4 linked regions of the Canis lupus familiaris genome follow. The protein of the gene in region 4 interacts with the protein of the main gene of each other region in a biochemical or structural test. Links are inferred from orthologs where the notes say so. Each region holds a gene or a part of one and is shown on either strand. Other genes may lie near its edges. The genes, in order: STXBP5, SNAP23, SLC6A1 and STX1A.

Region 1 (7,656 bases), on a different chromosome or scaffold from region 4:
TGTATCCCCAAAGTTAAAATGTAAATTCAGGTAATATGTTATATGGATCTTCAGAGGCTATTATCTTTAAATTAATCAAAGTTTAAAAAATGTTTTCATTCCAAAGCTGTAAGTATTTTTTTAGGTTCTCATTTTCGTTTTAATTTTATTAAATTAATAAATATTTCTCTTTTCCTGTTGTTAAAGATATCCTATATTTGAAAATCCATACCCTTTGAGTATACATGAATCACCTGTTACATGTTGCGAATATTTTGCTGGTTGTCCTGGGGACCTTATTCCTGCACTTTATTCTGTTGGAGCCAGACAGAAACGTCAAGGTTACAGCAAAAAGGTATAGAACATGAGTTTTAGTAATTAATGTTACATTTCAGTAATTTATATGTATCACCGTGGAGTATTTTATAACATTGATATCTTTTTTAGAGAAAGTATATAGAAAATCCCTTTTTGAAGCAAAATATGTTTTTTACTGTTGTCATAGAAATATATATGAAGATGTATGCTTGGAAGTTGCTTTATACAATAATTTTTTTTTATAGGAATGGCCCATTAATGGAGGTAATTGGGGCTTGGGTGTTCAAAGTTACCCAGAAATAATTATTACAGGGTAAGTAAAATCCTGTTTCACCACTAAATCTCTAATAGCTAGATATAATTAAGACTACATGAATATTAATTAATTGGGCAGGTAATGCTTTCCTTTATGCTGTAACTTATTAAGAAATGTTGTTGTCTGGAACCTGCCAGTTTACCCTGAATTTTATGCTGCTTTATTTTGGTTGCTGTCTTTTCACATAACAGTATACTTCAAAGAAAGAAAAATATGTAGGGTTTTTTTTTTCTTTTTTTCTTCACAATTTTAACTCATTTGCTTTTCATAGGCATGCTGATGGATCAGTTAAGTTCTGGGATGCTTCTGCAAGTAAGTAATTTGAATATTATTTGTTATATGTTACACAATCACTGTAACATATACAACATGTTTTATAATTGCATAACCAATATTTAATTTAAAATGTGGGAGCTATGAGTTTAATACCTGATTTATCAAGTATAGTTTAGAATTTCTAATAGATGTTTAAGATATTTTTAAGGATATTAACCAGTAAATCAATAATGATTCTCAACAAAAGTAATCAAATTCTGTCTTCAAAATTTCCTTAAATCAGAGATGAAAATGGGAATATATTTCAAATCAACAGAAATTTGTAGAATAATTTTAATGCCTGGGTTTTTATTTTAAGATTTGTTTTTTCATGAGAGACACAGAGAGAGAGGTAGAGACACAGGTAGAGGGAGAAGCAGGCTCCCCGCAGGAAGCATGACATGGGATTCGATCCCTGAACTCCAGGATCATGCCCTGAGCCAAAGGGAGACGCTCACCCGCTGAGCCACCCAGGCACCCCCTAATGCCTGATTTTATACTAACAGTAATTTGTGCTTTCTTGGCAGAATATATATATATATAGTGCTTACACAATATCAAAAAAGGAAAGAATGGTTTGAATCATCAGTGTTTGCCAAATATATATAGCAAACAGTGAGAATCTAGTTAACTTGTGATCTTTTGTGTTTCATCATATAGAAGTGTGAGATAATATTTATTAGTACCTTTTACAGAGAAAATATGTAGAAAATCATTTTAGAAAGCAATTATGTTCTTTATTATTTTCATTATATTTATACTTTTTTTTGCAAAATCTATTTGTCTTTTTTCAGGTTATCTAATTCATTATCATGTGTTTTTTGTTTTGTTTTTAATAGTACACCTTTTTTTTTTTTTTTTTTTTTTTGGTCAATAGGTACAGTGATTGCATTATCTAAAAGTGTAATTGAGAAATATAGACCTGAAAATAAAAATATGGTTCAAATAAATATAGGCTGTTTTCCTTAGATAGTTTGACTGACTAGATATTACCTTGTATTCTTTTTGTATTAAAGTATCTAACAAATGTTTTTTTCTAGTAACTCTGCAAGTATTATATAAACTAAAGACATCTAAAGTATTTGAAAAATCAAGAAATAAAGATGACAGACCAAACACAGACATTGTAGATGAAGATCCATATGCCATTCAGATTATCTCCTGGTGTCCAGAAAGTAGAATGCTGTGTATAGCTGGAGTTTCAGCTCATGTCATTATTTACAGATTCAGCAAACAAGAAGTGATAACAGAAGTCATTCCGGTAATAGTCTCTTAATTATTTTCAGTGTCAAATGTCTGACATTTAAAATTTTTGAACTATTTAAATTATTTGAAGTCAATTTTATCTAGAATTTTTAAGAACACTTAAGTGTTTACATCGCCATCTATCTTTTGTGGAAAGTGTATAAGATGAATAATTATTAAAAGAAGAACTGTCTTTCTTTTACAACAGATGCTTGAAGTTAGATTGTTATATGAAATAAATGATGTGGAATCCCCAGAGGGCGAACAGGCGCCGCCTTTGCCAACACCAGTGGGGGGCGCCACTCCTCAGCCCATTCCTCCTCAGTCTCATCCTTCTACCAGTAGCAGTTCATCTGATGGGCTTCGTGATAATGTCCCTTGTTTAAAGTATGTTATTAAAAAATACAGATGTTTTGGAAATAAGATAAATTTAATTTAGATAAATTACAAGCTTTATTACAGTGATAATTTCCTGTGATAGAGAAAAATGACATTTCTTTCTGGGTTGTGCTGTGGTTAATACAACCCATTCTTCTGTGGTATCAAAAGGAATATGATTGAATTCCATGATTTTTATCTTTGGAAGTGCTAAGATTTGATCTGTAAACATACCCGTAGAACAGCGTGGATCTTTTCTGTATATATAGCTCAATCTTCACATCTATAGATGTTTTCTACTCTGGATTCAATGTGGATCAAATATATATGTAGACTGCTTTCTACTGCTCTGAAAGTTCTGGTTTTTTTGTCTTTAGAGATTCAGTCATTTTGTAATCATTTTCTTGGCTTTCTGAATCTTCTCTAGCACACCAGTATCATTATTTAAATGCCTTTATTGTAGCATTCTGGATATGAATACATTTTGCTTTTTTAAACAGGAATAAATTGGGTACAACTTTCTTATCCTTTCTTTTTCTGACTTATATTATTGAGTTGTTAAATGTTTTAAAGGATATGAGCCTTAAATATGACATAGAAATAAAAGAATGAGGAAAAAGTTAAGATCACTGAAAAATTTTATAAGACTGTGATTAATTACATTTACAAAGAAGTTCAGTTGGGGTAATAACTAAAAAAAGTGGTTATGGAAAATGTCAAAGAAATTCAGTACATGAGTTGAGGTGCAAAAGCCAGATTAGTAGATTCAAGGTAGGGAGGCCTAATGAGAGATCATTGGCATTTGTTAAAAGAACCAGGTTTTGTCCTGGTTGTATTTTAGATCTACTGGAGTTTCTTCTCTTGATGAGTAGTAAAGAATTGCTGTGGAGAATGTCTGTGTAACTAGCATTGCATTGCAATGACTCCAAAGATATGGGCAGATTTTTTTATAGCATAGTCATTTAAAAGGTGTAGACTTTTTTTTAAAGATTTTTATTTATTTATTTGAGAGATTAGCATGAGTACTAGTAGGGAGAGGGAAGCAGCAGAGGGGGAGAGAGGAAACAGACTCCCTGCTGAGCAGGAAGCCCAATGCAGAGCTAGATCCCAGGACCCTGAAATCAGGATTGAGCCAAAGGCAGACACTTAACCACCTAAGCCACTCAGGTGCCCCCAAAATTACAGACTTCAAAAAAAAAATCTATATGTTTATATAAATTTGAGATTGTGTGTTCTATGTTAGTGGTTCTCAAACAGAGATGTTTTTGCTCCTCATCATTTTATTGGCAATATCTGGAGACGTTATTAGTTGTCAACAGTAGGAACAGGGTGCTACTGGCATCTCGTGCATAGAGGTCAGGGATGATGCTCAAACGTGCAGAACGGTGCCCCGCAACAAAGAACTTGCAGGTCAGAATGCCACTAGTGCCAACAGGAGACTCTGATCTGATCTAAAAAATGTAAGCATTCAGGTTAAGCAGCCACATTTCTCAGAAAGGTCTCAGGGTTTTTGGGTGTTTTTTTTTTTTTTTTTTTTTGGCCCTCTCTCAAGTATATACATACACATCCTCCTTTTTGCTACAGTTCTGGCACATGTTTTGCTAGAATGAAATTGGAAATACAGAGAATTCTACATTCTTCCATGTTGTTACTTACTCAGTACTGCTTTGCTTTAAACTTAAATTTGTAAAATTTCCATTAATGTTCTTTGATTTTAATGTGTATTTCTCCAGCCTTTGTTAAGTTCAAGTCTTATAAGCCTGTAAAGTACAATTTGTCTTTGATGTTTGTTTTGATAACATTTTTATGGCAAAGTTTTTAAGATTTTTGTCTAAAATTGACAAATTTACCAATGACTTTTTAATCACAGGCAATTTGAGTTATACCTCATTTTTTTTCTTCTGAACAGTTTTCTGGTAAATGCAGTTATTTATTACCTTCACATAGTTTTCATCCACAGTCCCAAAAGCCAATTTTTAAATGTCAGAAATATAATCAAATTGATATTAAAATAATTACTACTTTGTTTTTATACAAAATGCTTGCATATGTAATTGTTCCTTTGAAGAAACATTTTAAGATTAGTTACTCAATTTATTCCTATAACCAGTAAAATTTTGTGTTTTTAGGTATTTTAATTGGGCTTTTGCAGTCCGAACAGACATTTTGAAACAGCAAAGTCTCCAAACATACATTTAAAATCTATTTGTATAGGGCAGCCTGGCTCAGCAGTTTAGCGCCACGTTCAGTCCAGGGCCTGATCCTGGAGACTCGGGATCAAGTCCCATGTTAGGCTCCCTACATGGAGCCTGCTTCTCCCTCTGCCTGTGTCTCTGCCTCTCTCTCTGTGTCTCTCACAAATGTATATATATTTGTACAAACTATGGAGCTTTTTATAAACGTTCAGCTCCTTGTCTTTAAAAAGTAAAACCTTCATTTACATATATTAAAATATTAAAATAATTCACATGTAAACATTGTAGACATAAAATATTATACCCACCCATCCCCTATTTTGCATTTTAAAGATTTTATTTATTTATTCATGAGAGACACACAGAGAGAGAGAGAGAGGCAGAGACACAGACAGAGGGAGAAGCAGGCTCCCTGCAAGGAGCCTGATGTGAGACTCCATCCTGGATCCCAGATCCTGTGATCATGCCCTGGGCCAAAGGCAGACATTCAACTGCTGAGCCCCCAAGTGTCCCTATTTTGCATTTGTAAATCTAACCTATCCTGTTATTTCTTGATCCCATTTCTAATTTTTTTACCTATTGGGGATTTTGCAGCAGGCTTGACTGGCTTATTTTTGCTTAAGAATTTTTTGTTTGTTTGTTTATTCTTACTAATTAAGAATTCCATGAATTTTGTATGTCTTCATCACTGAAGTTTTAAATGTCCCCATGTACGCACTTCTGATACTATCCCTGTATTTTTGTTCCTGCTCTAATCTAATGTGCATGTTAAATATGCTAGAAGAAGGTGGACACTTCTTTGAACCTTACCTAATTTATCCAAGGAAAAAATAACACAGATTCTTCTATTCTGAAGAATACTCTATTTTCATTTCTATATCTTGAGATGGACAGCCACCACTGATTAGTGGTATTTCCCTGAGAAAAGCCAGAACGTCTGCTCATTGAGCATACAGTTCTGAGTGTCCTGCCTTATAGATATTGCACGAAGTGACTGTAACTCCGTTCATTTTTGGAGCACCCTCAATGATTCATGTTTACTCTAAAATTTGGACAATAAGAAGACAACTGGAAGGACACCTAGGTGGCTCGGTGGTTGAGTGTCTGCTTTTGGCTCAGGGCATGATCCTGGAGTCCTGGGATCAAGTCCTGCATCGGGCTCCCTCATGGAGCCTGCTTCTCCCTCTGCCTATATCTCTGCCTGTGTGTGTGCGTGTCTCTCTCATGAATAAAAAAAATAAAGTCTTTAAAAGAAAAAAAAAAAAAGACATCTGGAAAATGGCAAAACCAGAATTTAGACTCTAGCTTTTCAAAAGCCCTCAGTTCTTTCTACCAACATCAGACCTTTGCAGCCAGGCTTTGAAGACCCTTTAAAGTCTGGACCTAGCCTATCTTGCTATATTGATTTCTCACTGTTACTACACATACCTCCACTATGAGCAAACTTACACACTTGTTAATCTTTGACTGTGGGTTTCCTACTACTAGTTTGCATATGTTTGCAAAAGCAATATATTTTGAGCACCTATTCAGCAATTATTGGGGAAAGAGTCTACAACCAAAATTACTATCAACTTAAAGAGTACTTTATTTTATTTTATTTATTTTATTTTTTAATCTTTTTTTAATTTTCTTTTTAAAGATTTTATTTATCCATGAGAGACAGAGAGAGAGAGAGAGAGAGAGAGGTAGAGACACAAGCAGAGGGAGAAGCAGGCTCCACGCAGGGAGCCCGACGTGGGACTCAATCCCGGGTCTCCAGGATCAGGTCCCGGGCTGAAGGCAGCGCTAAACCGCTGAGCCGCCTGGGCTGCCCAAGAGTACATTTTTTTAATAGTGAAAGCATCATGCACACAAAAGTAAATTTGTCACTTTTTTTTTTTTAATTTTTGTACTCACTATGTTTTGGCTACTTTTAATTTTGTTAAACCATATATTTAAGTCTATTTTTCTAACTTGAATTTTTTTCCAACTTGATTTTTCTTTCCTCTTCTTAATTCATAGGCTTCTCATTCTCCTTATTCCTTTCCCCATTCCTCCCTCCCCTTCCTACCCATGGTCTTTTTCTCCCTCCCTACTTCCAACCCCCCAGTCTGTAATGGGAACTTATGTATGATTTCTTACTTTTGTTATTTATGTACATACTTTGTCTCCAACTAGATTAAATGCCTCTAGAGAACAGGATTTAGCTTTTTTTCATTTTTGTATATTTAGTACAATTTCATATATAAATTACTGTTTGCATATTTATGCATGACTTTATAATTACAGAAGTTAATAAGATACTTGAAGATGGGTTAAAAGATAATATGTTTTCCTTTATTACAGAGTTAAAAATTCACCACTTAAGCAGTCTCCAGGTTATCAAACAGAACTAGTTATTCAGTTGGTATGGGTGGGTGGAGAACCACCACAACAAATAACCAGCCTGGCAGTCAATTCTTCATATGGATTGTAAGTATAATTTATGTGTTTTTCAGTCTCGTCATACTATGCCATACATTTTTTTCATTTTTAAAAACAGGATGACTTTTATTAGAGCATCAGTTAAAAAATTGTATAAAAAGTTGTTTAATTTCAGATCATATTTAGTGTTTATTTGGAAAATAATTCTGTTCCAAATAAATTACTCAGGATATACTTATAGTGCTTCATGATAAATTAAGATAAAGGTTCAAAGTCAACATGTGGGGATCCCTGGGTGGCGCAGCGGTTTGGCGCCTGCCTTTGGCCCAGGGCGCGATCCTGGAGACCCGGGATCGAGTCCCACGTCGGGCTCCCGGTGCATGGAGCCTGCTTCTTCCTCTGCCTCTCTCTTTCTCTCTCTGTGACTATCATAAATAAATAAAAATTTATTTAAAATAAATAAATAAATAAAAAATAAAGTCAACATGTCTTCTCCTGGATAAA
Region 2 (7,656 bases), on a different chromosome or scaffold from region 4:
TTAAAAAGCGTCTCGGGATCCCTGGGTGGCACAGCGGTTTGGCGCCTGCCTTTGGCCCAGGGCGTGATCCTGGAGACCCGGGATCGAATCCCACGTCGGGCTCCCGGTGCATGGAGCCTGCTTCTCCTTCTGCCTGTGTCTCTGCCTCTCTCTCTCTCTCTGTGTGACTATCATAAATAATAAAAAAAAAAAAGCGTCTCTTCATAAACATGCAGAGCATGTTATAACTGCACAAAGAAAGTGCAGGTTTTTTACCCAACTCATTTGAAAGTAAACATGACAACCCAATGCAAAGCTGTAAAAAGAAAAATTCAAAGCCAGCTTTTTGTACATTTCTCCTTGATATTAGAAAACATCTAGGATTCAGGCCTCTTAAAGGGAGGATTTGATAATCAGTCTGATTCTTTGTTTATAACACAAACCATGCTTTATTTTTTTATTTTATTTTTTTAAGATTTTATTTATTTATTCATGAGAGACAGAGAGAGTGAGAGAGAGAGAGAGAGGCAGAGACACAAGCAGAGGGAGAAGCAGGCTCTACACAGGGAGCCTGACATGGGTCAGGAGTCCCGGGACTCCAGAATCAGGCCCTGGGTTGAAGGCGGCGCTAAACTGCTGAGCCACCCGGGCTGCCCACAGACCATGCTTTAATTGAAACTCATTCATAATATCATGTTAAGACAATTTATTTGCATCCTAAGCTCCCTATAACTAATTCTAGCAGAAAGAATTCTAAAAACTTAAAGGAATTTCAAATCTTATCTCTTAAGGTTGAGAAGGAGGTTGGAGCATATATATATTACTTGATAGACCAGGAGCTGGCAAGTCCTGTCCCAGTCTACTCTTTATGTCTATGGCTTTCAGAAACATAGTATCTTTTATTTAGTGACTTTTGAATTCCAGCCCTCACTCTTTCACCTGTTGTACAATCTGACATCCTGATAAAAGCTGCACTTACCGGGGCACCTGAGTGGTTAAGCCTTCGCTCAGGTCATGATCTCTGGGTCCTAGGATCAAGCCCCCACATCGGGCTTTGCTCAGCAGGGAGTCTGCTTCTTCCTCTCCCTCTCCTTCTGTTCTCTCTGTCTCTCAAATAAATAATTTTTTTTTTAGAAAAACTGCATTTACATTACTTTTTTTTTTTTTAAGATTTTATTTATTTAGTCATGAGAGACACAGAGAGCCAGAGACATAGGCAGAGGGAAGAGAAGCAGGCTCAATACAGGAGCCCAATGTGGGACTTGATTCCGGAACTCCGGGATCACACCCTGAGCCAGAGGCAGACACTCAACCACTGAGCACCCAGGCGTCCCTATTACTTCTATTAATACATCTGGTTATTAACTTTCTGATAAACTAATATGCTGTTTATTTTATTCACTTGGGATTCTTCTGCTTTAGAATTTTGTCTGAGACTTAACCTTATATACATGAAAATGGGTTTCATCAAACTAACAGATAATTATATATAAATATTCATTTAAAAAAGGTATATCCTACCTTGTTCCAAGACAGATTTAACATGGCTTATTAATAAATTGATTAATTAATTAAACATAGTAGCCCAAGTAGGAAATTGATTTTGAGCACTTAAAGTGGAACCAAGAAAGGCACTTTGATTAGCTCTTCAGTGTTCATAGACGTATTTACCTTTTCAGTACCTCTTATAAAAAAAAAAGGTAGTAATATCCTTTCTGTAATCTGATTAAGGTTTAAGATCTGATTATAGGTTTGCTAAAAAGGAATCCTTATGTCTATTAAGAAAGGAGCTACCGTTTTCATAAAAATCTTTCCTCTGTTTTTGTAGTTTGGAAACTTCCTCATTAACATGTGGAATAAATCAGAGACCAATATTATAGCTATATACTTTTTGTTTATAGAAAAGTAAAAAATTAAAATTGTGTAAGTGAAAAGTGTACCTAGCCAAATAATCAGTAAAAAAGTTTTGTGTTATTTTTTTGTAACAGTCATTTAAAAGTTGCTTCACAAGGCCTTCCCCGCCCCCGCCCTTGCCATTATTACCAGTTTGAATGGTAAATCCCTATGTTAAGCTCTGGTTTTGTCTATATCAGTTACACCTAAAGTATATGTTTTTATTTTTAAGAGGTCTGGATTTAGGATCATTTTTTTAAAAGGAGGAAAAGTAAACTCTTAAATGAAGAAGCCCTAAATCAAAGAATTTATAACTGGTGCCAGAGTGTCTCAGATAGTTATCATTGGCTGTTCAATTTGGAAATAATTCTTATGCCTTTCCTTCATGATGTTTGTTTTTTAATTTAATGCAAAATTCTAACTTTAAAAACTGAATCAGCTGGATCTACTCTGGTTCAAATAAATGGGCACCTGGGATCTGAGTGTTGCGTACTCAGCCTTTTTTCTCTTTCATCCCTCATCAACTTGTGAGATCTCTCCAGGAACCTCATCAGGCATCACGGAACACCTTTCCTGAGGAATTTTTTCCACTGTTTCCTTTTCTGAAGACTGTCAAAGGCTAGGGGAACCTGGAAAATCAGATAATTGCAGTTCACTACTTGCTAACTACTTAGTGAACATTTCATGGAAATAGTTGAACCTTTAAAAGAATTTTTAATGTCATTGGGCTTACACAATTCATTTTTTTCCATATATTGTATTGCAACAGAGCACAGTATAGCTAATCTAGATCTAGCTGTAGGTAGCTTTTATGCTAAGGTTGCTAGGGTCATCCTCTAGGTAAAAAGAACTAATAATTACAATTTTTCCCTCTTGCTTTTTCATATCTTTCTACACTCCTGACTCTTATATAGGACAAAGAACTTTGAGTCCAGTAAGGCCTACAAGGCAACATGGGGAGATGGTGAAGACAACTCTCCTAGCAATGTAGTATCTAAGCAGCCAGGCCGAGTGACAAATGGGCAGCCTCAACAACCAGCCACTGGAGCAGTTAGCGGTGGATACATTAAACGGTATGCCAGCTCCTCCTGATGTTTTTACCCCTTTCCTAAATGAATGGCTCAGGAGGGTGGGTGTTGTTAAACACGAACCCTAACTCATCAATCAGAAATAGTGTTTATTCCATTTGAAAATGTATTTTAAAATCTGCCTTCTAACAAAATGTTGACTGTGGTTATTGACTTTCATTGATGGATTAATGTTTCTTTATATTTTTCAGTACTTTCAAAATTACCCAAGTAAGCATGTTTTAGTTCTATAAATAGGAAAATGTGTTTTAAAATGTATCATGGGGATCCCTGGGTGGCGCAGCGGTTTAGCGCCTGTCTTTGGCCCAGGGCGCGATCCTGGAGACCCAGGATCGAATCCCACATCGGGCTCCCGGTGCATGGAGCCTGCTTCTCCCTCTGCCTGTGTCTTTGCCTCTCTCTCTCTCTCTCTCTCTCTCTCAGTCTGTGACTATCATAAATAAATGAAAATTAAAAAAAATTAAAAATAAATAAAATCTTAAAAAAATAAAATAAAATGTATAATGTATGGGATACCTGGGTGGCTCAGCATTAGAGCAACTGCCTTTGGCCCAGGATGTGATCCTGGAGTCTTGGGATCAAGTCCCGCATCGGGCTTCCTGCATGGAGCCTGCTTCTTCCTCTGCCTATGTCTCTGCCTCTCTCTCTTTCTCTGTGTCTCTCATGAATAAATTCATAAATAAAAAAAATAATGTATCATATAGGAGTGCCGGGATGGCTCAGTGAGTTAGGCATCTGACTCTTGATCGCAGCTCAGGTTTTGATCTCAGGGTCATGAGTTCAAGCCCCGTGTTGGGCTCCATGCTGGCACCCCCCCCCCCCCACCAAAAAAAAAAAAAAAAATCTAGAGTTAGGGATTGGCTAGATACCTATAAGGATAACAGTAAAGGGCTAGACGGTAAATATTTTAGACTGCAGCCTGGTCTCTGTTGCCAACTACTCAACTCTGATTTATGGTGAAAGCAGCAATAAATAATACGTAAGCAAATGAGTATGGCTGTATTTAAGTAAAACCTTATTTACAGAATCAGGTAGAATGCCAGTTTTTTGCCTTTGAGCCAGAATTTTACAGCCTGTTTTACAGCAGTGATACTTTAGACTTAAGGTGCATGAGTCACTTGGGGGTTTATTTAAACATTGAATGCTGGGATCCACTTCCAGTTTCTGATTCAGTAGATCTGTAGTAGAGAGTGAGAATTAGCATGTTTTCATGTCTAATAAGTTCCCAGGTTATATTGTGATCACTCTTTGAGAACCATTGTTCTAGAGTTGTTTCTTCTCCTATACGGCTTTAAGACATTTTGTTCTCTTTGGTTATTCTTTTCAGTTTCTACCACAGGATGTTTTTCAAGAATGGTAACCTGCATTGCTGTGGGTCTAACGCTTGCTGAGGTCATTTTGGTTATTTATATAAAAACTAAATCCAGATTTAGTCTGTTTATAATTTACCAGAAGTACTGAATTTACTGTATTTTTTGTGACAGTATAACTAATGATGCTAGAGAAGATGAGATGGAAGAGAACCTGACTCAAGTGGGCAGTATCCTAGGAAACCTAAAAAACATGGCCCTGGAAATGGGCAATGAGATCGAGGCTCAAAATCGAAAAATAGACCGGATCACAGAAAAGGTAAATGCTCCCTCATGCCACAGGAATTTGAGATACCCACCATTTTTCAGTAATGTACATCTGTGCTTGATATTTTGGGGGGAGAACAATAAGAGATGATCCTGTCCGTACAGGTCTTATACTTTTGATGAGGTGGCAATTCTAACACATTGAAAAATTACAGCTAGGTCCTCCTATCTTTTGCTCATGGCAGTCGGTTCATTTTGAAAGCAAGACCTTAGAATGAAGTGGTTTTATTTAAAATTTCACATATGAAGCTTACAGTCTACTCTGACCTTTGGGAGGGCTATGTAAGTTCCTAAATCCTCATCTCATAAATCAGTAAGTGAAAATCAGTTCTACACAATGGTTCTTGTGGAGTGGACACACAAAACAGGGTCCTATGAGTAAAGAAAAAATGGAATTTTCTTTTTTTTTTTAATTTTACTTCACATGATATAAAAGATACCAAAAGTGAAATTATGTTCGCTTTTTGGATGTGTTGTGCCTAAAAGCCATTCTTGTTATTGTTATTTCATTAAAAACCTCAGTGTGCTTTAAAGGATGGGGTGAGTTTTTAAACTTAGTTCTGTTGAATTACTTAACAGTGTACTTCATTGAGGCAAAGAGTGGTTCATAAGGTGCTTTCAAAGCTGTCTTGTGGGTTTACATATTACCCATCTTTTAAATTCAGATATTGATGCAGGTGGTAATGTATCTATTAAAAAATCTTGAAGAATGTTCTTTCAGATTCTCTGGGTTAGACCTAGAGTAGTCTCAGATAAGATTCTATGATTCAGTTCAGGAAGATTTCCAGTGTCCAAATCTGTAACAAAAAGCATTCTTAATTTCACTGCATCAAAAATGCCATTGATTATAACATACATCCCAGTTAAACTATGAAAAAATGTTACAGAATTCATGAAATACGGTCAAGTTCTTCTGTTATATTTTTGTTATGTTTATATACCCAGTTTTCCCAAATGAATTTCATGTTCTGTTTCTTCTTGCCCAAAATGAATTTTGTGACTTTGTGTTTCCTGAATTTTCTCAGTGTGTCAGTTACTCCAAGTGTATGAAATTTAACTTTTATTAGAGCAGCTTACCTTGTAACATAATGCTGATATATTTTTCTTTTTTTCAGGCTGACACCAACAAAGATCGTATTGATATTGCCAATGCCAGAGCAAAGAAACTCATTGACAGCTAAAGCTGCTGCTGTACTTCTTTATCATGTATTCACTTCTCTAGCTCCTCCTTCAAAGCCATTACCTTTTCAGAGTTTGACGTTTTGGTTCCATGCTCTTCTAAATCAGGAGATAATGTGCAAGAAGGGCCAGGAGTACAGATCCCCTATTTTTTTTTTAATGTTCTCTTTCCTTTGAGGGTACACTATTGCTTGTCTGTCCTTGTATATTTTTTTTTCCTTGATTCATAGTTTTAGATTGGTTTTTATACATCTTATATCGTGTTATTTTTCATCCTTCTCATTTACTTTAGCAGGTTCTTTTGCTTTCAAGATTTGGAAGCATTGCCAAAGACAGCCATGAAGAAGGAAACTGGGGGCAAGGGGAGCATAAGGAGGAGAGGCAAGAGATAAGAGGTTGTTACCTCAGTAAAACTTGCATGCCACAAAGCAAAAATTGCATAGCCACAGTAAAGATCTAGCTGGGTTTAATTTTTAATTTAAGCTGCAGTTATTGCCAGTTTAGGCTAATCCTTGGTAACGGAGCTTTTATACACAATATTTTTGTTATACATCATAACTTGGTAACCTCTGCTCCAAAAAAAATAGAATTTTTTCAAAGTGAGCTTAGTTGCTGAACTTCTGGTGATTTGTGTATGTACATAGTGATCCCATTTCATATTGCACCTTACAGGAACACTTTGTATAAATGAATGGCTTTTTATTTTCACGTTATTAGTATCATGGTCCCATTACATGCTTGTTAACCTCATAAATTTGTCATTAGTCTTTGAAGAAAAAAAATATGTAAATATGTATGTGTAACATGAGAATTTCTCTCTAAAGCAGGGCTTAAATTTTTTTGGAGAAGTTTGACAAAGTATATCACGTGAATTCAGATTTACCTCAAAGCCAAGAATTATGTTTTGTTTTGTTTTGTTTTTTAAGAATTATGTTTAGATAGGCTAAAAGAAACTTGTTTTGATCTCAGGTAGAAAAATAGTTAGATTGCTTTGAATTTTTTTGTAGCTTTAGACTTTAAAACTAGAATTTATTGTTTAACTAAAAAGTGATTTGGAAAATTATGCCTTTGGTTTAATTATTGATGACTGCACTATCATTCAGTTAGCCTTGTGGATTGAATTATGTCCAGAATCACATTTATTTAGATCTTGAACAGTGTTAGAAGAATCTGTTTGGTATTTGTCACCCTTATTTAAGAACTAGTGTCTGCATACTTCAAAGCTATTAATGTGGATTGGTTTGACCAATAACCACTGCTTGATCTTTACAATTAAATTTTATAACTAACTAATGGAATTGTTCTTTCAAATAGGTAATGTGGGTTTTTTTTTACTAGTTGGTGGGAACCAGGGGAAGGTGAATAATTTCACTAGCTTGTAACAAATTGAATAAAGCAAAGGTCCATAAATCAAGAAGCACTCTGATGGAAAGCTGTCTTTGGCACCTTTCCCATTTTTTATTGGAAATACTGACAGGACTTTTCCTACAATTTGTTATGAGGTTCATTTTAATTATTCTAAGTCTCTTATTCATTTGAGCTTTAATACACTAATGATTGAAAGGATGTTTATGAGCAACAACTACAACCCATCTACTGAAGCTACTGTTAACATGAGGACTTTCATAGGCTGAAGAGGAAAATATTTAGAGTGAGATTCATTCAGGCCCTCTGGAATAGAAATGCTCCATGCCATGGACAGTAGCCCGGGTAGCTCAGCAGTTTAGTGTTGCCTTTAGCCCAGGGCCTGATCCTTGAGACCTGGGATCAAGTCCCATATCAGGCTCCCAGCATGGAACCTGCTTCTCCCTCTGCCTGTGTCTCTGCCCCTCTCTCTCTCTCTGTCTGTGTGTGTCTCATGAATAAATAAAATCTTAAAA
Region 3 (6,439 bases), on a different chromosome or scaffold from region 4:
ATGTTTTTCTGGGTCCCTCTTAATCCTTGATATTCACTGTACTTTCTTCACCACCTGCCCCTCCTTGTCATCCCCACCACTTCGCTCTCAACTGGCTTAATGCTGTGAGATTCTCGCTGGTCGGGGGCTTTGTTCAGAATCCGAGGGATGTCGGATGTCAGTCTGGGAACTTCAAAACACCTGTGGCATTCTGCAAGATTTGTGGTTCTTTGCAGGCCATCAGCAGTCGCTTATAGCATCAGATCAGCAGGGCTTTGAAGGAATGGCCTTGTCCACAGGGCTTTGAAGGAATGCCAGGCTACCTGTTGGGTGGGAGGGACTTTGAGAGAGGTGAGGACATGCTTTATAAGCATATCCCTTTGTTGGTGGACATTTTCACATGTAGGTGCCTGGCTTTCTTCCTGACATAATCCACCTGCTGGGGGTTATTGAATGATTAGATAGGGAGGCCCCCCCTAGAGTGTTAGCCCTATGTTACAAAGAGGCTCAAGCTCCTAGAGGTCAGGCGACTTGCCTATGGTCATTACTCTAAGAAAGTGGCAGACTGAGACTTTGAGCCTGCAGTCCCCACAACTCATTCATACCTCCTGCTCTCACTCCGAATGTCACAGGTGTCAACCGATTCTATGACAACATCCAAGAGATGGTTGGCTCCAGGCCCTGCATCTGGTGGAAACTCTGCTGGTCTTTCTTCACCCCAATCATTGTAGCGGTAAGGACAAGTCTTGACCAGCCCCATTAGGATGAGACCAGACCAGGCCCTGGGGCGACTCAGGTCCAAAGAGAAATTTCTGGAAGCAGAGGCACCTATTTCCTAAAAATACTACTACATCCCATTTGCTGAGCCTCTACTTTGTGCCCTATACAGCACCAGACACATTACATAGTCCTCGCAAACCTCAGCAAAATAGGCATTCTTGCCTTCACTTTGCTGCTGAGGGACCCGGGTTCACCCTGCCAGCATCACCCGGCTAGTTGGTGCTGCATTCAAACCAGGCAGGCCTGATTCTGAAGCCCCAGCCATGGGCTCAGGAAGGCTTCTCATCCTCAGCATCCTTTATTCCCTCACGCAGGAGGAAGCTGAGGCCTAAGCAGCCCTGGGGTGGCCGCCCCAGGTCCTTGGGGTGGGGGCTAGACCACTGGATTGGTCGTGTCCTGCACTCTGGCTTGCCAAGCTGATTAACTTGGAGGAACGGATGCCTTTTGCTACTGATCCTCCCCGGGGGGGGGGGGGGGGGGTCCCTTTCTCTATCCTGTACAGAGATGTCTTATGTAGGAGCAGTGGCCTTCGGTGCAGGATTCCCACATGCTGGGCCCTTGTGAGGGTCTGCCTCATGGCAAGGGAGGTGGTCAGTGGATCTCTCAGCTTCAGGGTCTGGGAAGGGGCCTTGGTTGTCCAATCTGGGTGACTAACTGTGTCCCATTCCCTCTCCTCCACCATCCGCAGGGTGTGTTCATTTTCAGTGCTGTGCAGATGACTCCTCTCACCATGGGAAACTACGTTTTCCCCAAGTGGGGCCAGGGTGTGGGCTGGCTCATGGCTCTGTCTTCCATGGTCCTCATCCCTGGGTACATGGCCTACATGTTCCTTACCTTAAAGGGCTCCCTGAAGCAGGTAAGTCCCTTCTTCACCCTTCAGATTGCTAGTCCCTTTCCCCTACCCTTGTGGAGATCACAGTCTAGTTAGGAAACAGACAACTCCATTTCCAATGATAGCAGAATGTTGGAAGTGCCAACATGTGCCAATCATACTGGGGAGATGGGCAAGCCCCGCCTGGATTGAGGAGGGTTAAAGACGGCTTCTTAAAAGAGGGGATAGCTAAGAAGAGGCCTAAGGATGAGTCAGAGTTAAGAGTAGAAGCAGAAAGAATGTTCCAAGAAAGGTGGATGGGAAGCATGCGCAAAGGCCCGGGGGTATAAACAGCATTTGGCGAACTGAAGGGAGATCATTGTGGCTGGAGGGTAGAATGGAGAAGGATGCAGAGGGGGTGATAAGAGAAGAGGTTGGGGATGTAAGAAAGGCCAGATCATGAAAGGCTTTCAAAATTAAGACAAGAACTTTGGACTTTATCTTGAGGGTAATGGAACGCCTCAAGAGTTTGAAGCAGGCGAAGGGTGGGGTCAGTTGTACTGCGGACTTACTCTAGATCTCTTTTGTGAGCTTTATAAAGACAAAATGTGGTCTTACCCTCAAGGAGATGTGCCTGCCAGCACATTCTAGGTCCACACTAGCTCTTTGTTAAGTTATATCAAATTCTCAAGTGAAACAAGGCAGTGCTGGAGGTACCCAGGTGCTAGAGACATTGATGGATTAAGGTAAGCTGAGAAGATTTCCCTGAGGAGGGGTGAATAATCAGATACAGAGGGCCACGGCTGGGAGGCCCCGGGATCAATGGTTCTCAACCTTATTTCTACTAAGATGGACCTTCCAGACTAATCAGAACCAGAAGAGGGAGCTCTGTGGTCTGTGGTCTAAGGAAGACAGTGTAAGGGAGGCTCTTGGACCAGCCTCCTCCTTTTACAGAGAAACTGAGGTCAAGCGAGAAATCACTTCCCTACCCCTTATAGTAAGTTATTAGGAGAGCGGAGGCTTGCAGCCCTTTCTTCAAATCCAGGCCCAATGCTTTCATTTTCCACAACCCTGGAGCTGTGAAAGGCAGTCAGGTCTTGGAGTGAGAGAGAGGCAAACGCAGTGCATTTGACGAGGGGTACACAGCCTGTGCAAAGGCCCAGGAGTGGGCACATCTGAAGACACGGTGCATTATCTGAAGTGACAGGATTTCAGGGAGTATGTGTAGAGAAGGTAGTGGGAGATTCATCCATTCAGGAAATCTGTATTGAACACCTACTGTGTGCCAGACAGTGTTGTCAGTGCTAGAGACACAGCTGTGAGAAAAAATAGGCAAAAATCCCACCCTCATGGGGCTTACATTCTAGTAGAGGAAGACCAGCAATAGCAAACTAAAAACATGTTAGATAGGAATGACTATGGAGACAGAGTAGAAAGGGAGTGCTGAGTGAGGCCCTGCTGGGAAGGTAACATGGAGCCAAGACCTAGGAGGTAGAGATCGAACTGTGTCATGATCTGAAAGGAAGGATGGATCAGACACAGGGCACAGCAAGTGCAAAGGCCCTGGGCAGGTATGTGTTTGGCATGTGAGGAGCAGCGAGGAGGCCAGAGAGTACAGAGGATGTGGGGACGAGGCCAGAGTCTGGGTGCGTTTTGAAGGCAGAGCAGGCCTTCCTGACTTGAAAAGAGGGTGGGGGAACGGAGAGGCCAGTCTTCCTCCTCCCAGCCCAAATTCTCCCTGGTGCCCACAGCGCATCCAGGTCATGATCCAGCCCAGCGAAGACATCGTTCGCCCAGAGAACGGTCCGGAGCAGCCCCAGGCCAGTGGCTCAGCCAGCAAAGAGGCCTACATCTAGGGGTGTCTGGCGGCTTGCCGACCCGACACTCACCCCCCAACCTGGCTGAACATGACCACCACTTGATGTCTGAAGATACCATCGATCTCAACCTACCTCGAGTGGCGAGTCCAGACACCATCACCATGCAAAGAGAGGGGAGGTGGGGGACAGTCACACCCCCGGTGGGCCCCGCCGTGGGCAAAGATACCCGATGGCTCCAGCACCTGCAGGCTGGTGACCTTTTGAATCCGGGCCCCATAAGCATCAAGCAATCAGCCTTCGTGACTGTGCAGTAGATCATTTTTATCCTGCCAGTGAGTGTGGTGCAGTGAGGCTCACACACTCGGGGCTTTTAGTCATATTCCTGACTGTTCTCTTACTGCCGAAACCCATGACTCTTACTCTCGGACTTTGCCGGAGTTTGGTTCCGTCGGAACGCTGCTCTGTACACACGCAAAGGGCATTTTGTATAATGGGGATTTCCAGGGAGAGCTCACCCTTCAGTAGCAGGGAGCCAGCGGAGCTCTTACTTTCATTTTTTTGTTTATCCTTCCCGAGGCAGCTTGACAAAAGCACCCCCAAGGACATCCATCAGTGTCCCCCCACCCCAAGCTGCCAGCTGAGCTGTGTCTCCAGCAATCTGCAGAGCATCCTCCCCGCCCCCTCCTAGCCAGGCCATGCTGACTGCACCTGGCCCAAGAGCCATCATTCCAGACGGCCCAGCTCCCTCACTCCGTCCTTGGAAAACTGCCACAAGCACAATTGATTTTTTTTTTATTGCCATTCTGGGGGACCTAAGATTCCGCTGGGGAAATTCCCTAATCAGAAGCCCCAGTTTTTCTTAGGCTTGCCCCGTTTCGTGGAGCACAAATCAGGTGCGGAGGAAATCAAGGTGAAGGTTTCTCTGTCCTTGAGTCAAAATGGATGCAGTTATCTTTCCAGCTCCCCCTTCAGCTGTGTCCTCACTGCCGCCCCAGTCAAAAATGCTGCCTTCTTCGTTCATATTCCTCAGCGGGAATCCCCTCACTGCCACTGAATCTCCCCAGCTACTAACTGAGGAGCTAGTGTTAATCCAGACCACCCCCACGCCCCCACCCCTCAAAGTGCTTCCAAGATTAAACTGCTTCATTGAGAGGTAGTATTTGTTTCTTTCCGGAACTGGGCTCCGTGGTGGTGGTGGTGGTGGTGGTGGTGGTGGTGGCGGCGGCGGCACATCAGGCAAAGACAGTTTCTTGCAAGCTCCAGTGACTCAGCGTTTCTCATTTGCCAGGAAGATGGGTTCCCATGTAGCAAATCGTATGTTGTGTCCCGTAGCTCCTTAGCTAGTTAGCTCACAAACTGTGTTTTACAACTAATCCTTAATAATTATGGTAAATAACTGTGACTGTGGGTTTTTTAATCTCTTGTCATTCTCATCCGACAGTGACCAGCATACCCGTTCTTGCAATAAGGTATTACCCTCAGAATATTAAGCACATTCTTGTAGAGAAACAAAAAGTACATGTACACATATAAAGGCACACACATATACATTCATCCTCCCGTGTGGTATATAGGGTCTTATCTGGTATCGTTTAGGAAATCTCAAACCTTTTCCTGAGGTCATCTGTAAAATAGTCTCATTGCTAAGGCATCCCAAATGCCAACTGGTGAATCCATGATCAAAATGCATATGTGTTGTTAAATTATAGGGTTTAGAATGAAAGGAACCCTTCACTGTGTCTCATGGTCCCACCCCCCCATCCTGTGTGAATTCCTTTAGATTAAGGGCAGGAAAACTTCTGACTTTCTCTTTGTTCTTCAATGTGAAACTAAGGCCGAGTCTTTCTAAGACAAATACAGTGTACTTAATGTTTGTATGCAAATCTAATTGAGATGTTTGGCAAGAAATCCCCTAACTGATTTCCATCCAAACCTACTTATAGAGCACAATATTACGTGTCGTACAATTCCAGTGAGAACTGTGAATATGTGTACCTTTTTTTAGTATTTGCCCTGGGGGAAAAGATATTGTATTATCATATATGCTTTTTTTGCAATAAGGGTTTATTCTCAGAACACCAAGTAAATCTATCTCTATATAAAAAAATATATGTAATATATACATATTCAAACTATATACAGAGCCTGTTTTAAAAAAATTACAGTATTATTTAGAAAAATTATCTGTTCTATGGACCAAATGTAAAATATTTATAAATGAAGATGCATTTTAAATGTCTATAAATGGTGTCATAACTAGAGCACGGGCGTTATGTACGTTTCTAAGAATTTAGAGGAAAAATAATAAAGGTTCTATGATATACAATGTCAGACCTTCAATTCTTTGAGCTGGGGGCACAATAGCTTCTTTCATTGGAACAACACTGCATACACACAGAACCATTTTTTCCCCAAGAGAGAGAGAGATTTGGGCTCAAATACCCAGCAAGAGGGACGCCTGGGTGGCTCAGTGGTTGAGCGTCTGCCTTTGGCTCAGATCATGATCCCAGGGTCCCGGGATCGAGTCCCACATCGGGCTCCCTGCATGGAGCCTGCTTCTCCCTCTGCCTGTGTCTCTGCCTCTCTCTGTGTCTCTCATGAATACATAAATAAAATCTCATAAAAAAAAAAACAGCAAGATACAGCTTGAGTTTGCCAAAAGTCCTGGAATGAGTAAATAAAAAAAACAACTCTGAGCTACATAAAGGAGATGTTTTCACTGTGAAGCAGGGCTCTGAGAGGTCACAACTCTGTTCAAACGAGAACCTGCTTCCAGTGCAGAAAAAGGCAGTGGCGCTCGAAGAAATGCTCAGCACCCAAGGACCCCTAGCCTGTGCTTTCCTGCTTCCCCCTTCTAGCCAACCACTCACACTGAAAATGATGGCATAGAAGGAAAGGGAAAGCTACCGAACCCCATACTTTCCCCGAGCATCAGTAAGTGGAAGTAGTGAGTATTGGCAAAATGTGCACGTCTCAAGAAGTGAAATCGAAACAACTCAGTCTTGTGCACGTCTCTTCTGTTGGGGAGAGAACAGAATACACGTGCATG
Region 4 (7,656 bases):
GATCAGAACAAATGAAGACATTAAACAGGAAAGAAGGTCCTTAGCTTGAGCCTAAAATCCAGCCAAGTAGACATTGGTGGGGAAGGGCTTGGGGCTTTTCTGGACAGGAAGTACTACATGATCAATTTTATTGATCTCTGGTTGCATTAACAGAGGTAAACCATGTAAAAAGAGGGAGGGGATGGCCAGCTTTTTGGTACAATTTAGAGCACAACCAACAGTAGATTCAGTTTGTATCATGTACAAACTCTATCATGATAGAGGTTGGACCAAATGAGTCTGGGGTAGGGGCTGCAACTTAGGGCCCTGAGAGGGATCTGAGGGAAAGGGAATGGTCAACTTGAGAAGAAAAACCCAGGGAAAGTGTGGACATTGCCTTCAGATCCCAGGGAGAGGGTACCAACAGGTTCTTTATGGCGTGGGGCCATGCCACAGGAAAGGGACAATCGAGGCAGGCCAGGGTGGGCAGATCTGCCCAGGAAAGCAGTGAGCTCTCCATCACAGGGGGTGTGCAAGCTGAGGCTGGCAGCTGAGGCCAAGGTGACTTTTCAGGTCCCTTAGGGCCTGAGAGTCTGTGGCTGTCGTGTCAGGAGAGATGTGAATAGTGTGTGGGAAACCGGAGGAGCAAGAGACTGATCTGGGGCAGCTGGGGAAGGCTTCTGGGAGGAAGTGGCATCTAAGGATGAGGGGAATGTCAGCAGGTAGGTTGTAGCGGCAGGGAGATGGGTATAGGTGGGGTGTGCCAGGGTCCAGGTTCAGGCTGTGGCAGTGAGGTGATGGGGGGCAGGGGGGCAGTGGGTAAAAAGTCCTGAGGAGGAAGAAGTGCTAGGACTTGGTAAGGAAAGGGTCCTCACGGAGAATCCCCTCAAAGTTTTGCTTGGAGTCACCACTGGTGTGACCGAGGCTCTAAGTCAGGCCCTAAACCCTCCAGTTGACTTTGGGATCAATCTGAATGGTACCTTCGGGGTGGATCCTGACCTGGGAGCCCCAGTCAGGCCCTGGCCCAGGGGTCCCCTTCCTCGGCTCTGCCTTCATTGCCAGAGGTCCTGGAGGAGACCGTGGGCATCTTTCCTGCCATTCCCTGACTTCCCAGAAACTCCCTGACTCCAGCCTCAGTTTTCTGAGAAGTCTGTGCAGGGAGCAGGTTGGAGCTGCTGGTTGCTGGAGAACGTATGTCCTTGTTTTACAGACAGCCAAGCCGAGGCCCAGGGAGAGACTCCAGGCCAGATCCCAGGGGTCTCTGGCAACGGCTCTCGTCTCTGGAAACTCTGATGCCCTTGTCTTTGGCTCTAGCCGGTCATTACTCTTTCTGGGAGGAGAGCTGGAAAATTCTCCTTCTGTCCTTTCCTGTCCATCCCTATCTTTGTTTAGACCCCAAAAAGACAGAGAGGGCAACCTGCTGAAGGCTAGCAGGCTGCCCCAGAGGGGGCCCTGGGCTCCTCCAGACTGTACTCTGCCTCAGTTTCTCTAACAAGTCCTCCTCCAGCTTAGCTCCTGTGCCTGGCAACGTTCAAAAGTGTGGAAATGGCCTCTAGAGTCTCTTTGTCTATAGGTGGGCCTGGCTGGGGGGAGGGGGCCACCTGGTAGCAGCCACAGGCACTTGTGGGAGCGAGGATTTATTTTAGCTGCTGGGGGAGGAGGTGTGATCTCTTGATGAGAGGGGCCTGTCAGAGCCGCCTCCATAAAGCTCCCAGCCAACCCCCTCTCCTGTCTGGTCCCACTCTGGTGGGGCAGTGGGACCCTGAGAGCCCCAGGGGCACAGCCCTTTACAGACCATGCTGTGCCTTCCCACTCCGTCTTAGCCTTCTGCAGCCAGGAGTCACTGTCCCCACCGCTGCCAGCAGCAGACAGACCCAGGGGCAGGTCCCTCAGCCAGCCGCTGTCTGCGCGGGGCACAGAACCTGTCCCTCCCCAGCAGCCTGCCAGGTCCCTTGGCCTCCGTCGGGCCCTATTTTGGGCTCTGACCCTGACATAAGAGAGATCCAGGTGAAGGCTGGTGCCCAGCCTGCTCAGGTGACCTCCCCCTGGGTGCTGAGACAGGAAGGGGTGTGACCAAGTCTCATCACCCCAGTCTGAGGGGAACAGTCCCACCCTTGGGACCCTGGCCCCTGCCCTTTCAGCATGGTGGGCTGCTCACAGCCGCGACTCCAAGCAGGTGAGGGTGAGGCTGACGGGGGATGAGCTTGGCCAGCACATTGGGAAGTTGGAGGTGTTGTGATTACTCTGCCCCCGGATGGGGGTGGCTTTTGTCCGGCTTCTCCCTGGGTGGTGGGGTGGGGCCTAGGGCAGGCCCTGAGCCAGGTGAAGACTGGCCTCTCAGGCTGGTCAGGGCCCAGCTCTGGGCCTGGCGGGACAGAGAATTGAGGTCTGAGGTCAAGAATGACGGAGGAAGGCATCCCTGGGTGGCTCAGCGGTTTAGCGCCTGCCTTTGGCCCAGGGCGCAATCTTGGAGACTCGGAATCCCACGTCGGGCTCCCGGTGCATGGAGCCTGCTTCTCCCTCTGCCTGTGTCTCTGCCTCTCTCTCTCTCTCTGTGACTATCATAAAAAAATAAAATAAAAATTAAAAAAAAAAAATGACGGAGGAAGGGATGCCTGGATGGCTCAGTGGTTGAGTGTCTGCCTTCGGCTCAGGGCATGATCCTGGAGTTGCGGGATGGAGTCCTGCATGGGGTTCCCTGCAGGGAGTCTGCTTCTCTCTCTACCTGTGTCTCTGCCTCTCTTTCTTTCTGTGTCTCTTGTGAATAAATAAATAAATAAAAATTAAAAAACAAAAATGACGGGGGGAGAGCTGAGTTTGCAGAGCTGCACACACACAGGCTGCATGCAGGCAGTATCTCTCAGGCCTGCTTGAGGTGCAATGGGATGGCCCTTGTGTCAGCATCCCACCTCTTTGGAGGCAGGTGTGGGTGGCACTCAGGCCTCTCACTCCTGACATACCCCCCCACCAAAGGGAGCTTGGGAACTTTGAGCCCCATCCCAATTAAAACCTTTGGGACCAGGGACACCTGGGTGGCTCAGTGGTTGAGCATTTGCTTTTGGCTTGGAGCATGATCCTGGGTTCCTGGGATCGAGTCCCATATAGGGCACCCTGCAGGGAGCCAGCTTCTCCCTCTGTCTGTGTCTCAGCCTCTGTCTCTGTGTCTCTCATGAATAAATAAAATATTAAAAAAAAAAAAAAAAGCTTCAGGACCAGAAAGTAGAAAAGGCTGGTGTCCAGGCAGCCTGTCTCAGGCAAGGTCTGTGAGTTGGGGCCCCTAGCCAGGGAACCAAGCCTTCCCAGCTGTCCCCTTGGGTGAGAGCCATGCTGGGAGGACCCCAGTCCTGTGGGGAGGGGGCAGGCAGCTGGGCCAGGGAAGGAGTCCCTGGCCTAGAGGTAGAGACTTTCCCCATCACCAGCTCGGCAGGCAGGGCTTCTGTCTTTATGCTGGGTCCCCTGGGGTCCTTGAGGTCTCGCTGTGGCTGGGAGCTGAGGGCACAGCCAGACCTCATCCCTGCTAAGAGGACACAGGGCAGCAGTGAGGGCCCTGGACCTGAGCCTGCAAGCCTGCAGTATGTGGATGCTGGGTAGTTTATGGTCCCAGGTCCAGCAGGACCCTGTGGGCCTACCAGAGTTTTGCTCACGTGTACACACCCCTGTGCAGGCCAAGGACAGCGATGATGATGACGATGTCACTGTCACTGTGGACCGGGATGGCTTCATGGATGAGTTCTTTGAACAGGTGGGAACCAGCACACCCCACATCCTCGAATACTCTGGCAGACCTTGGTGGGGGGCCCATGTCTCACCCCCACCCCACCCGAAGCCTGGTCCAGCCTCTGCCCAGGGCCCACGGGCCTCCAGCTGGATCTCCTCCTGACCGGCTGGCCTTGGTGTGCAGGTGGAGGAGATCCGAGGCTTCATTGACAAGATCTCAGAGAACGTGGAGGAGGTGAAACGGAAGCACAGCGCCATCCTGGCCTCCCCCAACCCTGACGAGAGTGAGTGTGTAGGACTGAGGGGTGGCTTTCAGGCCTCCTAGAAGGCGCTGCTGTGGCGGGGGGGCAGGGGAGGGTGGCTTCCTAGAACCCCAGCACCCACGCTGTGTGTCGCCTGAGGGGTACCTGGGCCTGGCCCTCATGGAAAGCTTTGGGGAACACAGCTGGCCGAGGCCCGGGGTGGGGGTTAGTGCCTGGGATCCCCTGTTGGACCTGGGTCTCACACAGGTTTGTGTGAGTGGGGCGGCCGTCCTCGGGCCAGCCCTGCCCTCTCCAGGTAAGCCGGGTGGGTGGGTGCTGCCCAGCTCAAAAGGAAGCCTCTCCGCCCAGCCCCTCCCTTTCCTGAGCCTCCCCGGGGGAGCAGATGGCAGCGCTGAGCCTCAGCACCGTGGGAGGGCAGGCCGGCCAAGCAGGAGGAGCTTCCAGAAAGAGCTAGCAGCCCTGGCACCTGGCCCTGGTACCCCAGAGCTGGGCATTCTCAGGGCTCCAGGAAGTCACCTTTCTCCTTCCGCACAGGGAGCCTCTGTGTGTCTGCGTTCCACTCTGTCCCCACACAGGTCCCCCTGACCCTGCTGTCCCAATTCCTGGGGAGGTGTTGATGACTACACTGCCCTGTGCCAGGCTGACAGCATACAGGCCTGAGATTCCTTCCTCCCAGCCTGGGGGAGTCAGTGACAGCGCTGGGGGCCCAGGCCCATAACCTGGGCAAGTGCGCACTGCTTCTGCTTGCTCACCTCCTCTCGCTGCTCCAGCGCCTCTGGAAGACACCAGCTCACGGAGCCCCAACAATGCAAGGGGGAGGGTCCTAGCCATGGGAGGGCCAGGGGAAGCACTCAGGGATGGGTTTCTCCAGCAGGGCCTTCCTATCTGTGGCCCCTCAGCCCCAGTCCACTGGCACCCTCAAGCCCCCACAAGAAATCTCTCCACAGCCCCTAAAGTGTGTTTGAACCTGAGGCCAGTGCCAAGCTAAGCAGGTGCAGTGCCAGGCCCCTGGAAAACAAAATGAGTCCGCAGGGAGCCGGGAGACTGTCCTTGGAATGCGTGGGAAGGAGAGAGGGGCTACCCAAGGCAGAGCACACATTCAGGGTGTCCATCACGCGTTGCCCCTGCCCCCAGACATTTGTTGGGGATGGCAGCATGTGACATCTTATGTCTTTATGTGCATGTGTGTCTGAGTTCGTGTGTGTCCCTCCTGATGAGAGTCAGAAGGGGCTACCTGTGGGAACAGAGTCCTATAAAGAGCGAGGGCATTCACCTGCTGGAAGACGGGGTGAGCACAGGGCAACAGATGCCTGTTCATTTATCTTAGCTGCCTCGTGCCACCTTCCGCACAAAGTCTCCTCGCGTCGTACGGTCAGTAGCAGCTAGTTCAGATTTGCCACCGTGAGTCAGGACCAGCCGGTGGTCACTGATGTAGGGAGGGGGCTCCCCGGTACCGGTTCTAGAGCAGAGGGAGCAGTTAACAAGGAGTCACCGGGAAAGGTGGCAGCAAGCAGGGGGCTCTCCCGGCCGAGGCCTGCTCTGCCTTCCCTGGGGGCCGCCATCCGGGTTGGGCTATTTTGGATCTGAGCAAAAGAGGCAGAGACGTCAGAGCAGCTGGTAAGTTTCCTTTGTTTGTACGAATGAAGCGCCTTCCTCCGCTCCTCGAAGCCCCCCACCTCCCAATCCATTTAGTAGGTGCCCACCCAAAGTAACTGCTGTAAATGCCCTTCCAACACCCTCTAGGAGAGGGCCAGCCCCAGAGGAAAGCAGATGGTGGGTAAGAAAGGCCGAGCAAGAGCTCAGTCCTGGTTTCTTCCGGGAAGCAGAGTCCTGGGGTTGCCCTGAGCTGGGGCAGGTTGCTGAGGGAGGCAGCCACCTTGTCCCATTTGGCCAGCTAACCCCTCACTGGGGTGGAGCAAGCTGGGTACCCCCACGGCCTCCGCCAGCTTTAGAGAGACAGTTCAGCTGGAACAAGGGCCAGAAACACTAGGCTGTGGCCATCCCCCAGCTTTGCCGTCACAGGACCAGCCACCTGCTGCTCCAGGGCCACCTGTGTGCCAGGGGGCCCACATCCCTGAGGTTCTTTTCCATCAACTCCCACACAGGCCAGGTGCCTCATGCCCCCATCCACCCACTGGTACTCGGCAGTTGGTCTCCATTGAGCTCAGCACCTGGAAAGGGGGAGCAGTGACTCTGCATAGAATAGGGTCTACCCCACCCAAGGTGCTCAGTGGAGGGGGACCCACTTCAGCCTCCCTGGCCCCTGGCTCTGTCACCCTGGTGGCTGGATGCTCATCCCCCCAGAGCTACCAGGTAACTCTAGGTAAGCCCGCACCCCCCCCCCCCCATCCGACTCAGGCAAGCATCAAGTAAATGTTCCCCAGTGCCAATGCCAGCATTGCCAGCTGCTCCACAATTATTTCTGCCTTAAATTTAGACCCGTCTGTTATCCGCAGGGGGTGGGAGAGCCAGAGAAGGAGGAAAGGAGGCTCCTCGGAAGCAGCACAAGAGGGGGTGAGGCTGCAGCTCCTGTGGCCCCAGGCCCAGGGCTGGAGGGGCAGGCAGAGCCTTAGCCCGCGGAAAGGGGAAGGCTTGGGACCTGGGCCTGCCCGCGGGCTGAGCCTGAGCATCAGGTCACAGGGGGAGCCCCGGGTTTACCCTGTCCCCCTTCTCCCTCCCCAGAGACAAAGGAGGAACTGGAGGAGCTCATGTCTGACATCAAGAAGACAGCAAACAAAGTTCGCTCCAAGTTAAAGAGTGAGTCTAAGCTCCAGGCCTTGTCTGGGCAGTAGAGGGGCACTCTGGGCCCGCTTCCCTGCGTGGCCCTGGGGTCTTGCTGACTCTCGGGTACATTAGGTCTTGGTCTCCTTTTTGTGGGTGCCGTCATGTGCCCACTCACAGCTGCTTCCTGGCAAGGCTTGTCTGGGGCCAGGCTCGGGCCGTGCCTTGGGACAGATGCCTGAGGCTTCAGTGAGGGAGTGCCCCCCCCCGCCCCGGGCAATTGTCCCTCACTTCAGCAAGAGGGGGTTCAGGGGGCGGTCAGCACTGCCTGGTCCTGCCTGGAAGCCCTGGTGTGTTTGTGTGAGCACAGGTGCAGAGCTCCTGCAGATCGGGGCCACTAGACTGACCCTACTGGGTGTGGGCCCTCGTTGGGCACATGGGATTCCTGAGCAGAAGGCATGGTGGGCCTGAGCTGCCCAGCCTCACACAAGCAAGCACTCACACGCACAGCTTGCTGTGTGCCGAGGCCTTGCAGATGCCTGTGCGTGTCGGCCCCCATCAGTGCCTGGCGCTCCTGCTTCCCCCTGCTGCCCACAGACCCCCTCACAGTGCACACTAGACCCTCTCCTGGGGAGGTCCCGAGCCAGATCCTGGCTGGGGATGGGGATGGGGAGGGGACATTGGTGAGGGGACAGGTATGGCTCAGCAGCCCTCCATGCCTCCAGGCATCGAGCAGAGCATCGAGCAGGAAGAAGGCCTCAACCGCTCATCCGCAGACCTGAGGATCCGAAAGACACAGGTGCTGCGGGTGGGGCTCTGGGGCGGGCCATCGGGCACCGGAGGCCCTGGTGCCCTGCGGGTCTGGGCCTGACACCTGTACCCCCAACTCACACCCCCAGCACTCCACGCTGTCCCGCAAGTTTGTGGAGGTCATGTCCGAGTACAACGCCACACAGTCGGACTACCGCGAGCGCTG

The links.
Region 1: the proteins of STX1A (region 4) and STXBP5 form a complex in vitro, tested with the Homo sapiens proteins (2 studies listed by BioGRID). The link is inferred for Canis lupus familiaris from reciprocal best matches to the Homo sapiens genes STX1A and STXBP5.
Region 2: the proteins of STX1A (region 4) and SNAP23 form a complex in vitro, tested with the Homo sapiens proteins (3 studies listed by BioGRID). The link is inferred for Canis lupus familiaris from reciprocal best matches to the Homo sapiens genes STX1A and SNAP23.
Region 3: the proteins of STX1A (region 4) and SLC6A1 form a complex in vitro, tested with the Homo sapiens proteins (2 studies listed by BioGRID). The link is inferred for Canis lupus familiaris from reciprocal best matches to the Homo sapiens genes STX1A and SLC6A1.

The regions. Positions count from the first base shown.
Region 1 is NC_049222.1:38,628,988-38,636,643, forward strand, and holds part of STXBP5 (syntaxin-binding protein 5), read left to right. Parts: intron 1-186; coding exon 187-334; intron 335-542; coding exon 543-610; intron 611-884; coding exon 885-925; intron 926-1,968; coding exon 1,969-2,189; intron 2,190-2,381; coding exon 2,382-2,560; intron 2,561-7,074; coding exon 7,075-7,200; intron 7,201-7,656. UniProt on the Homo sapiens protein: Plays a regulatory role in calcium-dependent exocytosis and neurotransmitter release. Inhibits membrane fusion between transport vesicles and the plasma membrane.
Region 2 is NC_049251.1:9,779,816-9,787,471, forward strand, and holds the end of SNAP23 (synaptosomal-associated protein 23), read left to right. Parts: intron 1-2,786; coding exon 2,787-2,945; intron 2,946-4,444; coding exon 4,445-4,589; intron 4,590-5,712; coding exon 5,713-5,778; 3' UTR 5,779-7,069; downstream 7,070-7,656. UniProt on the Homo sapiens protein: Essential component of the high affinity receptor for the general membrane fusion machinery and an important regulator of transport vesicle docking and fusion.
Region 3 is NC_049241.1:7,414,822-7,421,260, reverse strand, and holds the end of SLC6A1 (sodium- and chloride-dependent GABA transporter 1), read left to right. Parts: intron 1-611; coding exon 612-712; intron 713-1,447; coding exon 1,448-1,615; intron 1,616-3,321; coding exon 3,322-3,426; 3' UTR 3,427-5,716; downstream 5,717-6,439. UniProt on the Homo sapiens protein: Mediates transport of gamma-aminobutyric acid (GABA) together with sodium and chloride and is responsible for the reuptake of GABA from the synapse. The translocation of GABA, however, may also occur in the reverse direction leading to the release of GABA.
Region 4 is NC_049227.1:6,487,052-6,494,707, forward strand, and holds part of STX1A (syntaxin-1A), read left to right. Parts: intron 1-3,643; coding exon 3,644-3,721; intron 3,722-3,880; coding exon 3,881-3,980; intron 3,981-4,699; exon of another isoform or gene 4,700-5,106; coding exon of another isoform or gene 5,107-5,247; intron 5,248-6,415; coding exon of another isoform or gene 6,416-6,473; intron 6,474-6,641; coding exon 6,642-6,716; intron 6,717-7,405; coding exon 7,406-7,479; intron 7,480-7,579; coding exon 7,580-7,656. UniProt on the Homo sapiens protein: Plays an essential role in hormone and neurotransmitter calcium-dependent exocytosis and endocytosis.